3 linked regions of the Solanum lycopersicum genome follow. The protein of the gene in region 1 interacts with the protein of each later gene in a pairwise test. Links are inferred from orthologs where the notes say so. Each region holds a gene or a part of one and is shown in the gene's direction. Other genes may lie near its edges. The genes, in order: B3 domain-containing transcription repressor VAL2, scarecrow-like protein 23 and thioredoxin reductase NTRC.

Region 1 (3,757 bases):
GGAACCTGATTGACTTAACTTTTTGAAAATCTCTCTATGTTTGTTACATATAGGGAAAAAAAAAAGTAATGTCAGTCACTCACCCCTCATCACCTAATTTTTTAGTTAATGGTTTTTGGTTAAAGATTTGATAAGCATGATGTCATTGTAGTATTAGGATATAGCACGCGTAGAAGAAGTAATCAATTAGGGGATTGAATAAACTAATTTTGATTTGTTTACTTATCTGTTTAATTACGCAATGATGATTAATCTTAGTTCTAATCTTATCGTACACACTAAGCCAAAAGAACCATACTTGAAAAGCAAAGTGGATTTTTGTCCTTTTGATTAGGACTCCCACTTCCTAAATGAGCCATTTGTTTTATTGCACCGTTTTTTATTTTATTTTATATGAGTTAGTTCGAATCGGTAGAAAATTTTTAAATGAAAAGAAAACTTTTGAAATTTATTTGAGATAAGTGATATTTCTTGTGTTTAAAAAAAAAAGATTTTATTTTCTTCTTAATCTGTTTAAAAAAGAATGTTTCGTTTTTTTTTTTACAATAATTTAACTTTAACTTTCCATGTGACATATTTAAGACCACAAGATTAAAGAACATTTTGATATATTTGACATAACTTTAATTTAGAACCACAAGATTAACAAGTCTTCTTTCTTTTCTTAAATTTCATTATAAGTCAAACTAGGTCATCCTTTTCGTTAATATCCTTTTTTTAACGAAGAGAGTAGATATTTGTGTTGTTATAAGTTATTTTATAAAAAGTAAAATAAATATTTTAATGTTAAATTGTTACTTGCTATATAAACATGTCATTCTTGTTTGAGGTAACTAAAAAGAAAAATAAATCAAATTTAGAGAAAAATGTACAAAACACTTTTTTTATTAAAAAACTCGTTTAAGACCCTTTTGTAGAGCTTTCATTAAAAAACCCGTTTAAGACCCCTTTGTAAAGCTTTCAAATTTCGTACTTACTTTTTAAGGGGAGTTATTTTCTAATCGATTTTAAATTGTGAAAAGTTGATTATTACTATTTTTTCAAGTTATTTTCTTTCACACACAAAACTTCTCTACACTAATAACAACAACAACGGAGATTCTAGAAAAGATATAATGTATGCATGTATCATCTTTTACCTAAAAATAGAGATATTATTATGGATTAAAGTACATGAAATATTATACAAACAAGATAACTAATGGTAACAAGACAATGATTATAATTGAATCATGTGATGACCAAAAATATAAGATAATAAGTAATAAAAATCAAAGAACTAGAAATTACGAGTGCAACACTAACTACTAATATGAACAGATGATAAAACAACACACGATGACCTTCTAATTTTCTATCCTAATTTGTGTCCTCCCTAATCTTTCTACGTAAGATCCTAAGCATCTATTTCCAGCCCTCATCAACACACGTCCATTCATACACATTCATTTCTACTATTTTCTCGTTTTATCTCTGTTTATATAAATTATCTATAGCCAATCACTCACACATCCACACTAGAACATCAAAACATATCACTTTCAAATGTTCAAAATTATCTCGATCTTTAACTTCCGCACCAAAGCCACTTCCAAATGTACCTATTTTAATCCTATCTCTTCTAGAACAACGAGAGAGGTTACAACATAGTTGGTCTTAACTATTACTTTGCATTTAGTCACAAAACTTGTATGTTTTTGATCAAATTATATAAACATAAGCTTTCTTTTCAATGTTCAAAAGAAAAGCTGATATGATAAAGTGAAAAAGAAATTGAGCAGAGAGAGACGTTAGTGGAAGAAGAACTGAAAGAGAAAGGCGGGCGACCTTTGCTGACCCTTCAAGTCTCTCCCTCCCTGCATGTCCCCTTTTCCATTTTTGAACTGTTTTACACTTTACGCTTCTCTCTCTCTCCCAATTCCACCGTTCCGGTACCGGAAATTCAACAAACTTCCCTAATATTTCTCTATCACAAATTTTAAAACAGACCCACAAACACTGCAGCTTACTAGCTTTAGTTTTATGTCTTTAACTTTTGTTTTCAAGATTCTTGCTTCACACTTATTATTCAACTATTTCATACTTGGGTTTTTCTAAAGACTTCATTTTTAGCTTTAAAAAAAAACTTTTTTTTTTTTGGGTTTTGCGTATGGAGTATTAAGAGGAAGATTATGCTGTATTAGGGCTTGATTAGAGGTAAGGATTTTAGGAATGGAGTCGAAGATTTGCATGAATGGACTGTGTGGGACAACTTCTTCAATTGAGTGGAAAAAAGGGTGGCCTTTGCGATCTGGTGAATTTGCGACCCTCTGTGATAAGTGCGGGTAATTCAATTCAGATCTCACTCTCTCTTTATACTTAATTTATATATGTTTGTAAATTCAGTTTTGTTGTTCTTTTTGTTTTGTAGAAACTGGTTTGCCTAGTGCTCAACTCTGTTTGATCATTTTATATGATAACATTACCATTTAGAATGTCAAACAGTGATTTTTCATTGTAAAAATGTTCTGACTTATATACTCTTTGTATAGGTTTTGAATTTGCTTATTTTATTCGAGAAAAGATTAAGGAATCAATGTCCTACTAATTGAGATGGTTTGAAATTTGTTTATTGAGCTGATTGTTCTTTTTTGAAACGGAAGAAGTATTTACAATCTGAACAGTTTCTGTGTTTATGTTAAGGTTACTGTGTTGGTGAATACTGTAGCAGCTCGGAGAATTATCCTTTTTGTTTTGCTGAAAGATATTTGCTAAATCATGTTCTTTTATCCGACTGTTCTTTAATTCGACTAAACAATTACTTTACCTTTTCAAATTAGAGATTGCATATTCAATTTGAGAGAATTAATTCTATTGGGATAATATGTTCCTAGTCCAGTTCATGCACCCTAGTAATGGTTGCTCAAACTGACTCTAGTTCTGGAAAGATTAAAGATCCTGCAAGATCAAAATGTGGGAAAGATAATCCTTCTTCTTTCTGTTTCACTTGTTGTCTTTTAGGAAGTCAGTGCAGATTAACCTGCTTACGTTCTCCTAAGGATTTGTATTATCTGTGATTCTTGCTGTGTCATAGGGAGGTTTTTCTTGGCTGAGATCAGGAGCATGGGCTTATGATCTAAGTGAGGCCGTTGAAGCGAGCCAGAATTTTTAATAAGGGGGTTCAGAATCTGAAGAAATAAACACATGAAGTAGCCGAAGGGGGTTCGACATCTATCGTATATACCTAAAAATTTATTTTAACCATGTAACAATAATATAATTTTCCGCCGAAGGGGGTTCGGATGAATCCCTAGTGATAAGGTGGCTCCGCCCCTGTGTTGAAGTGATGGCATAACTTTTTTTTTCTTTCCAGAATTGTCTATTTGGTTCCATGTTAAGTTACTGTGGAGCAACTTTGTCTTTTTTTGCTCTTTTTGGCCTTTATATGAAATAGAGATTGCATGCAGTGATTTCACTTACAGTAAATAATACAGTGCTGATGGAATGAAACTATTTTATTATTAATATTTGTTATTTTTTTCCCTTTTGTTTTGTTTTGTTTGTTTGTTTTACTTCTGTTATTTTTCTGTTTATCTTTTGTTTCTTGGTCAGGATAGATGACTGGTAGTTAAATTCATGATAAACTTAGATCTTTTGCAATCTACCGCCTGCATTGCCGAAAGGAAAAACATTCACTTTAACTTTGGAATAAAATGTAGCTAATGACAGTTTCACCATAAACTGAAAACTGAAACTAATGCAGAGTCTTAGGGCATCC
Region 2 (3,511 bases), on another chromosome or scaffold:
GTGCTAATATATATCACTAATATATGCTAATATCTTTAATTCATAAATTATTTATTTTTTGTCTATCCAAGATACTCTCTGGATTCCCCAATATTTTCCCAAACAAATCTTCGAGAATCCCAAGATATTGTACTAGATCAAGCTTGCCATACTTTTTCCCTTTGGGTAAAATAATAGTGACAAAGCAACGTGGGGCATTGAAGCTACTTGGAGTAACATGATAACTACTGTATTATATTTGTTTGCAAAATGGAGTATCGAAACAGACGTGACAAGCTACTACAAGCATTTCTTTACAAAATTTTCAGCAACTTTACACTTCATTCTTACGATTTATTTATTAAATATTTTCTAATTTAGTATCTTTTTTTTTAAAAAAATAAAAAGATAATTTTACTTGTTTACATAGACTTAATATTTTTGAAAAGTGTAGTGGATAATATATTTGAGATTTTATCTATTAATATGGGTAAGATGAATTCACTATCTAAATTAATGTTTTCTTAATATGTTTGTAAATTCATAATTCAAAAAATAAAAAATACAGGAGATTATTATTCATCATGTGGGGTTCATGACTTGTCCACATTGTGGCAGAGTTATATGATCCTAAAGGTCATAATTCAATTGAATTCCTTTATGAGAAAAATATATTAGAAAATAAACTAAAATTGTTTTTTATATATCAAAAACATAAATCCCTTAACATAAAATAAAAAAATGAATTTAGAAGTAGCTTAGCACGGTTCAAACTTAAGTTACTCAGTCCATCTCTAATTCACTATTTTATTCATTCGGTAGCAGATCTTTTACAATTGAGCAATTTGAATTAGCTCTGATTTGTTTAAAAAATGTTATTTGGGGACAATTCAGTATAAATTGATATAAATTTGATAACCTAAAGCATTCGTCATCATAAATTTCAAATAGTTGATGAAAAAAAAAAGTTGTTTGAAATTGACTGATTGTACAACTAGTTTTCAAATATGTGATGCCTCCTTTAAATTTGATAAAATTGCTTCACTCGAAATTCTATTATGAATTCTTCTATGTTTTTGAGTAAATATAAACCGATTCGCTAACATTTTTTTGTTTCTTGAATTTCCTATATTAAGGTTAAATATTACTCTAAAATTAACCCAAAAAAAAAAGTAAATTTATTTAAAACACCTAATAATCAAGAGGGAGAACATTTATTTCCAAGGAAACTATGTTTTTTCCCTTGGAAGAGATGTGAATATATTTATAACGATGAATGAGGGATTATAATAATGGTAGTACTAGTATTATTAATAGGAGTATAGTATTTTTATGATTGAGGAAAAATTCAAACACAAAAATACAAAAACCTCACTTCAATGTGTCCTACAAAAGATGAATAATTCCAAAAAGTCATCACCCTTTTTTTTCACAAATCCCCCTTTCAATTATCCTCACCACTCATTTTTTTATTCTACATTCTTTGCCATGTGATGTGATGAATGATCATGCTTTTCGTATCTGCAATTCCAATTAATCATACATCTTCGTATTCATCTTCCATGTCTTCTAAGCGCTCAATTTCTGAGTTTACTCCGGTCTCAGATGAACCTCAACTTCTTACTAAACGGCCCCGAAATGAAAGGGGAGAGGAAGAGGAAGAAGAAGGTGAGGAGTTACTTCTCGTTGACGCCGATTCCATAGGTCTTCGCCTTCTCGGCTTGCTCCTTCAATGCGCTGAGTTTGTTGCCATGGAGAATCTCGATGAAGCTGCTGATTTATTGCCGGAAATCGCTGAGCTTTCTTCGCCGTTCGGCTCATCAGCTGAGCGAGTCGCTGCTTACTTCGCTGAATCTCTATCGGCCAGAATTATCAGTTCTCATCTCCGATTTTATTCTCCGCTTAACCTCAAATCCCTAACTCTCACGCATTCCCAAAAACTCTTCACCGCTCTGCAATCTTACAACACAATAAGTCCGCTCATCAAATTCTCTCACTACACTGCAAATCAAGCTATCTACCAAGCATTAGAAGGTGAAGATCACGTCCACGTCATCGATCTCGACATCATGCAAGGTCTTCAATGGCCAGGATTGTTCCAAATCCTCTCCTCTCGATCGAGAAAGCTCCGTTCCATCAGAATCACCGGCGTCGGATCCTCCATGGAATTACTCGAATCCACCGGCCGTCGACTCACCGAATTCGCCAACTCATTCGGACTTCCGTTCGAGTTTCAACCTTTTGAAGGCAAAATCGGACACATCACAGACCTGAATCAACTCGGAGTCAAAATTGGGGAAACTACCGTTGTCAATTGGATGCACCATTGCCTCTACAATATCACAGGGAGTGATTTAGGTACTTTCCGATTGTTAACTTTGTTAAGGCCGAAATTGATCACACTGGTTGAACAAGATCTGAGTCACGGAGGAAACTTTTTGAGCCGATTCGTTGAGGCATTGCATTATTACTCCGCCTTGTTTGATGCATTGGGGGATGGATTGAGTGAAGAGAGTGCAGAGAGGCATAGAGTGGAACAGCAGTTGTTCGGTAGCGAAATTAGGAATATTGTAGCGGTAGGTGGGCCCAAGAGGACGGGGGAAGTACCCGTAGAGAGATGGGGCGATGAATTGAAACGAATCGGGTTTTTACCCGTTTCATTATCGGGTACTCCAGCTGCTCAAGCAAGTTTATTATTAGGGATGTTTCCGAGAGGGTATACGTTGGTGGAAGAAAATGGGTGTTTAAAATTGGGATGGAAGGATTTATCGTTGTTGACTGCATCTGCATGGCAACCTTGCGATTAAGATAGCCCATTTTTTGGTTGTTGTTTCAATTTGTAAGTTTTGGATGATGTTACAAATACCATAACAAATTGGACATACTAATAAGTGAAAGTGCTCTTTGTTCACTCTGGTCCTAATTCTGAGGAGGCCCCTACACATATGTATTTGTGTTTATCATTCTTGAAAATTTTGTTCTTTTAAGAAAAATAGTAATTGCATTGGATTAAAGAATTCTTGTCCTTTTCTTTACTAAATAATTGTGGTGGAAGATTCTATTTTGTCTGTTACATCCTCTCTATTAGACCTTACATTTCCTTAAAAAATATTTTAAATTAAAGATATATTTTATGATGGCTAAAAACTAAAAGTTCGACCAAAATAACTTTGAGAAAATGCTCTAAAATCTTTCAATTTATAGTCAGATTTTCAATTGGATACTCATATGTCACGGAGTTACATTACCTTCTAGGCTATTTTAAAATGGAGTTATTCACTCTCTAAATGCTATAGAGTGTGTAGTTCACTCTGTTGGAGAGATTGAGAGCAAAAACATTTTTTCAATTTATGCGAAACTTTTTATTTTTTGATAGTCAAATAGTTTAAATTTAATCAAAATTTTACGTATAAATTTTCAAATTTTTAAAAATGAATTTATATATTTATAAACTACAGAATAATTATTATAAGTCATAATAAATAATAATTCAAAACATTAAAAGCTAGACTTATTCAAATCTTGAAATCTG
Region 3 (3,757 bases), about 2.9 Mb from region 1:
CACTTACTTGAAAATCTTCTTTGACACTGCCAATCTCTTGACTGCACCAACAATTCCAACAACCAACACATTCTTCCATGAAGCGTGGAAAATTCAATTGGAATTGGCTCGTGCTGCAGCAAGTGAAGACCCATTCACCAGCAGACTTACCAAAATGATGCAAGAGATGTTTGATAATTATTGGAAGAGCTGTTGCTTAATGTTGGCTATTGCTGTAGTAATGGATCCACGCTTCAAAATGAAACTTGTGGAGTTCAGTTTTTCCAAAATATATGGAGAAGAAGCAGCCGCTTATGTGAAGACTGTTGAGGAAGGAATCCATGAGCTCTTCAATGAATATGTGGCTCTTCCTCTACCCCTAACCCCAACTTATGTTGAAGAAGTAAATGGCAGTGGTATGAGGCAGGAGGATGGACAAGGCCTCGACGCTTCTTGTAACGGGCTTGGACTTACTGATTTTGACGTCTACATTATGGAGACTTCGAGCCAGCAGTCAAGGTCAGAACTTGATCAATATCTGGAAGAGTCCTTGCTGCCTCGTGTTCACGAGTTTGATGTGGTGGGTTGGTGGAAGCTCAACAGAATTAAGTACCCAACTTTGTCAAAAATGGCTCGTGACATCTTGTCAGTTCCTGTTTCAACAGTAACGGCTGATTCTATATTTAGCACAGTTAGCAAAGAGATGGATCACTACAGGTGTTCCTTGCGTCCTGAGACCGTGGAGGCCCTCATCTGTGCCAAGGACTGGCTTCAGAATGCATCTTTAGACACTTCACCTATACCAATAAAAATGGAAGTTCCGATTTAGGTCTTGGTTATGTGAAATACTTGTCTAGAATATAGCTCTATTAGCCATATTGATGTTTTCTTTAAGACTATTAACATTCGTCGAGTCGTCTGAGAATCAACTTTCTTGTATCATAATTTGGTACCTCTAGTCTTACTGGAGAGTTTAGTCCCCATTTTCAGTCTCTTTATTTACTCATTGATGTCTGAATTCTGAATGCATGAAAATCAGCTTACTGGTGCATGATATGAATATGTTGGTATAGTTATGCTGCTCAAATGACTTGTACTTTCTTTCATTCTTCTGTGTTTTGTCTTCTTTTCTGGTCTCCCCTTCGTAGTTTGGAGGCGGTGGGATGTATTAAGATCTTAACAATATTTTTGTGTGGCAAAGAGATTGCTTCTTATTGATCCGCCGGTTAAATTTATTTATCTTAGAAATCAATGATCCAAATAATTTACATCGTGTATTTATCTTTAAAATTTTCAATTTTTGACACTGAAAAATGAAGTGCAACTTTTAAAATTTATCAGAAAAATTATATTTTTTGACAAACAATAAGTAAAATACAAAGCAAACAATACTTAATGTTGGACAAACTTGTTGCCACACATTTTCTCACTGGAAAACTATGTATTACACTTTGAATACAAAATATCATTTGGTTGTTTGGATAATATTTTTTCTTCAGAGGACCAAAAACAATGAACTTTGATAAAATTACTTATATAGTTCTTTTTTTTTTTGGAAAAAAATAAAATAAAAATTATAGTTCGTTGAGTGGTTATCCTCACCCCATAAAATTACGAATAAATCTCACACACACGGCACAAATCCAAAGACAAAACACACAGATGTGTGTGTAAGTGTGTGAGAGAGAAAAGGGAAAATAGTTAGTTGAAACAAATTTGTGTCAGCTGTAGAGATATCTACGTTCCGAAACCAATGGCTAATACTACTCCCAATATTACAAACTCCGTTGGTATCGGAATCCGAATCCGGACCAAAATCCGACCCGCATCCACTTCCATGGCGGCTACTCCGGCGGCTTTATCGACCGGTCACTGCATTCCGACCGGTTTGCTCGTTATCAACTCCGGTACGAGTCGACGGGGAGGAGCTGCTCGAGTTGACTCAGTTAATGGTCACTTGACTCGCAGCCGTGCGTCCTCGTTTTCGATTCGAGCTGCGGCGGAGGTGGAACCGGTCGGAACTAGTTCTTCAGGTAGACTTACAGTGTGCATTTCTGAATAAATAGTGTATTTTTTAAATTTGTTTTAGTCAATTAAGTGAATTAGGAGTGGTATGTTAGTTGATTGAATTGAAGTCGAGCATAAGTATTATCGAAATTCGGAATTGCATTTGAAATATAAAATGATGCTGGTTAATTTTGCAGCTGGAAATTGCTCTTTTGGGTTGATTTTGCAGCTGGAAATAGCTCATTTGTCAGCAGTTTATATGCAATTAGTTGTATAATTTTGAGAATACTGGTGTTTTTGTTTGTTCCAGCTCAGGGTATTGAAAACTTGGTAATAATAGGATCAGGTCCTGCTGGATATACAGCAGCAATTTATGCAGCTCGGGCTAATTTGAAGCCTGTAGTGTTTGAGGGGTTTCAAGCTGGTGGTGTGCCAGGAGGACAGTTGATGACAACAACTGAAGTAGAAAACTTTCCTGGATTTCCTGAGGGGATAACTGGACCTGACTTAATGGATAGGTATAAGAAAAGTTTTTGAGCATTTACTCTCATTAAGATATCTATTTGAAGTTTCCTTTTATAGACAAAAGTTTTGTTGAAGGCTGAGAAATTATGTAATTTTGGTAGGATGAGGCGACAAGCTGAGAGATGGGGAGCTGAATTGTATCAGGAAGATGTGGAATTTATTGATGTAAAGAATGCTCCCTTTACTGTCCACAGTAGTGAACGTAAGGTGATGCATCCTTTAGTTGCTGATTACTTTGTCTAGGTTATGTTATAACTGCTTAAATCTTTAATCCCCATCAAACTGTTTGCCTATTCTGAATTGGAGCATCTTTTAAAATTCCACGCAAGAACAATTCTAATATCTGATGTTTTAACAAATTTTATGGGGTAAAGAATATAAGGATGGCCATCATTTATCAAGACCCCAGCAATCTTTTTTTCTTTTCTTGAGTGTCACTTTTGAACTATTTAACAGTTCATGTATTTTTGTCAAGTTTGCAATATGTTCTCAAAACAGTGCCCAGAAAATTACAGGAAGTTAGATATAAACGTATGTATTCTCATTTGGAGTGAGAACTGAAAAGCTAAACAGATTTCAGACGTGTAATGGAAGAAGAGAAATAGATTCAACATTTTTCCTTTTCTTGGATAAAAAATATATTATGCTATTACATAGAAGGCATCTAAGCTCGTACTTTCTGGGTTTTCTTATTCTTCTAGACAGAAACATTTTCTTTCCAATAAAAATAATTCTTTTCAAAGTACAGAGACATTTTAACTACACCGGGACTTCTTTATGGGTTTACGTGTTTTCCATTCGGAAGTGGTTTGATTAAGTACAAGTATACAAGTCGTTTTCTATTTTTTTAGTATCTCTTTCCTTTATGAGATGTAAAAGATGCTGACATGGTAGAACAAGAGGCCTCACAATTTGCTGCATTTTTTAGAAAGATCAATTTGCTGCATTGTGTAAAGAACAATCTATATCTTCAGAGTACCTTAGCCATGATATAAGAGTCTGACGTGTTCTCTGTACCTTATGAATGAAAGAAGCATCTTCGATTTTGTTTTCCGTCTATAATCCCTCAATTCTCTGAGGTTCATCTGATACATGAGATGGTCATGAAACATACATCCATATTTGTGGTACCGGCACTCTTTTGATTCCCTCTGCAATAACAAAAGGGAAGGGCGTGTTTGTTTCATATGTTGTAAGAGATGTTGGGCTTGAAATGCATTAGTTCTTGCAGTCGCAGATGCCAAAT

Evidence for each region.
Region 2: the proteins of B3 domain-containing transcription repressor VAL2 (region 1) and scarecrow-like protein 23 interact in binary tests that used the Arabidopsis thaliana proteins (3 or more experiments, as listed by UniProt). The link is inferred for Solanum lycopersicum from reciprocal best matches to the Arabidopsis thaliana genes HSL1 and AT5G41920.
Region 3: the proteins of B3 domain-containing transcription repressor VAL2 (region 1) and thioredoxin reductase NTRC interact in binary tests that used the Arabidopsis thaliana proteins (3 or more experiments, as listed by UniProt). The link is inferred for Solanum lycopersicum from reciprocal best matches to the Arabidopsis thaliana genes HSL1 and NTRC.

Annotation. Positions count from the first base shown.
Region 1 is NC_090809.1:57,733,520-57,737,276, forward strand, and holds the start of B3 domain-containing transcription repressor VAL2, read left to right. Parts: upstream 1-1,337; 5' UTR 1,338-2,211; coding exon of another isoform or gene 2,212-2,233; coding exon 2,234-2,324; intron 2,325-3,757. UniProt on the Arabidopsis thaliana protein: Transcriptional repressor of gene expression involved in embryonic pathways, such as LEC1, ABI3, and FUS3. Repressor of the sugar-inducible genes involved in the seed maturation program in seedlings.
Region 2 is NC_090806.1:59,132,853-59,136,363, reverse strand, and holds scarecrow-like protein 23, read left to right. Parts: upstream 1-1,189; 5' UTR 1,190-1,481; coding exon 1,482-2,786; 3' UTR 2,787-2,996; downstream 2,997-3,511. UniProt on the Arabidopsis thaliana protein: Probable transcription factor involved in plant development.
Region 3 is NC_090809.1:60,630,088-60,633,844, reverse strand, and holds the start of thioredoxin reductase NTRC, read left to right. Parts: upstream 1-1,450; 5' UTR 1,451-1,732; coding exon 1,733-2,012; intron 2,013-2,296; coding exon 2,297-2,504; intron 2,505-2,612; coding exon 2,613-2,718; intron 2,719-3,757. Other genes in the region: zinc finger BED domain-containing protein DAYSLEEPER, read left to right, coding at 1-808. UniProt on the Arabidopsis thaliana protein: Thioredoxin reductase (TR) that exhibits both TR and thioredoxin (Trx) activities. Contains a C-terminal functional Trx domain.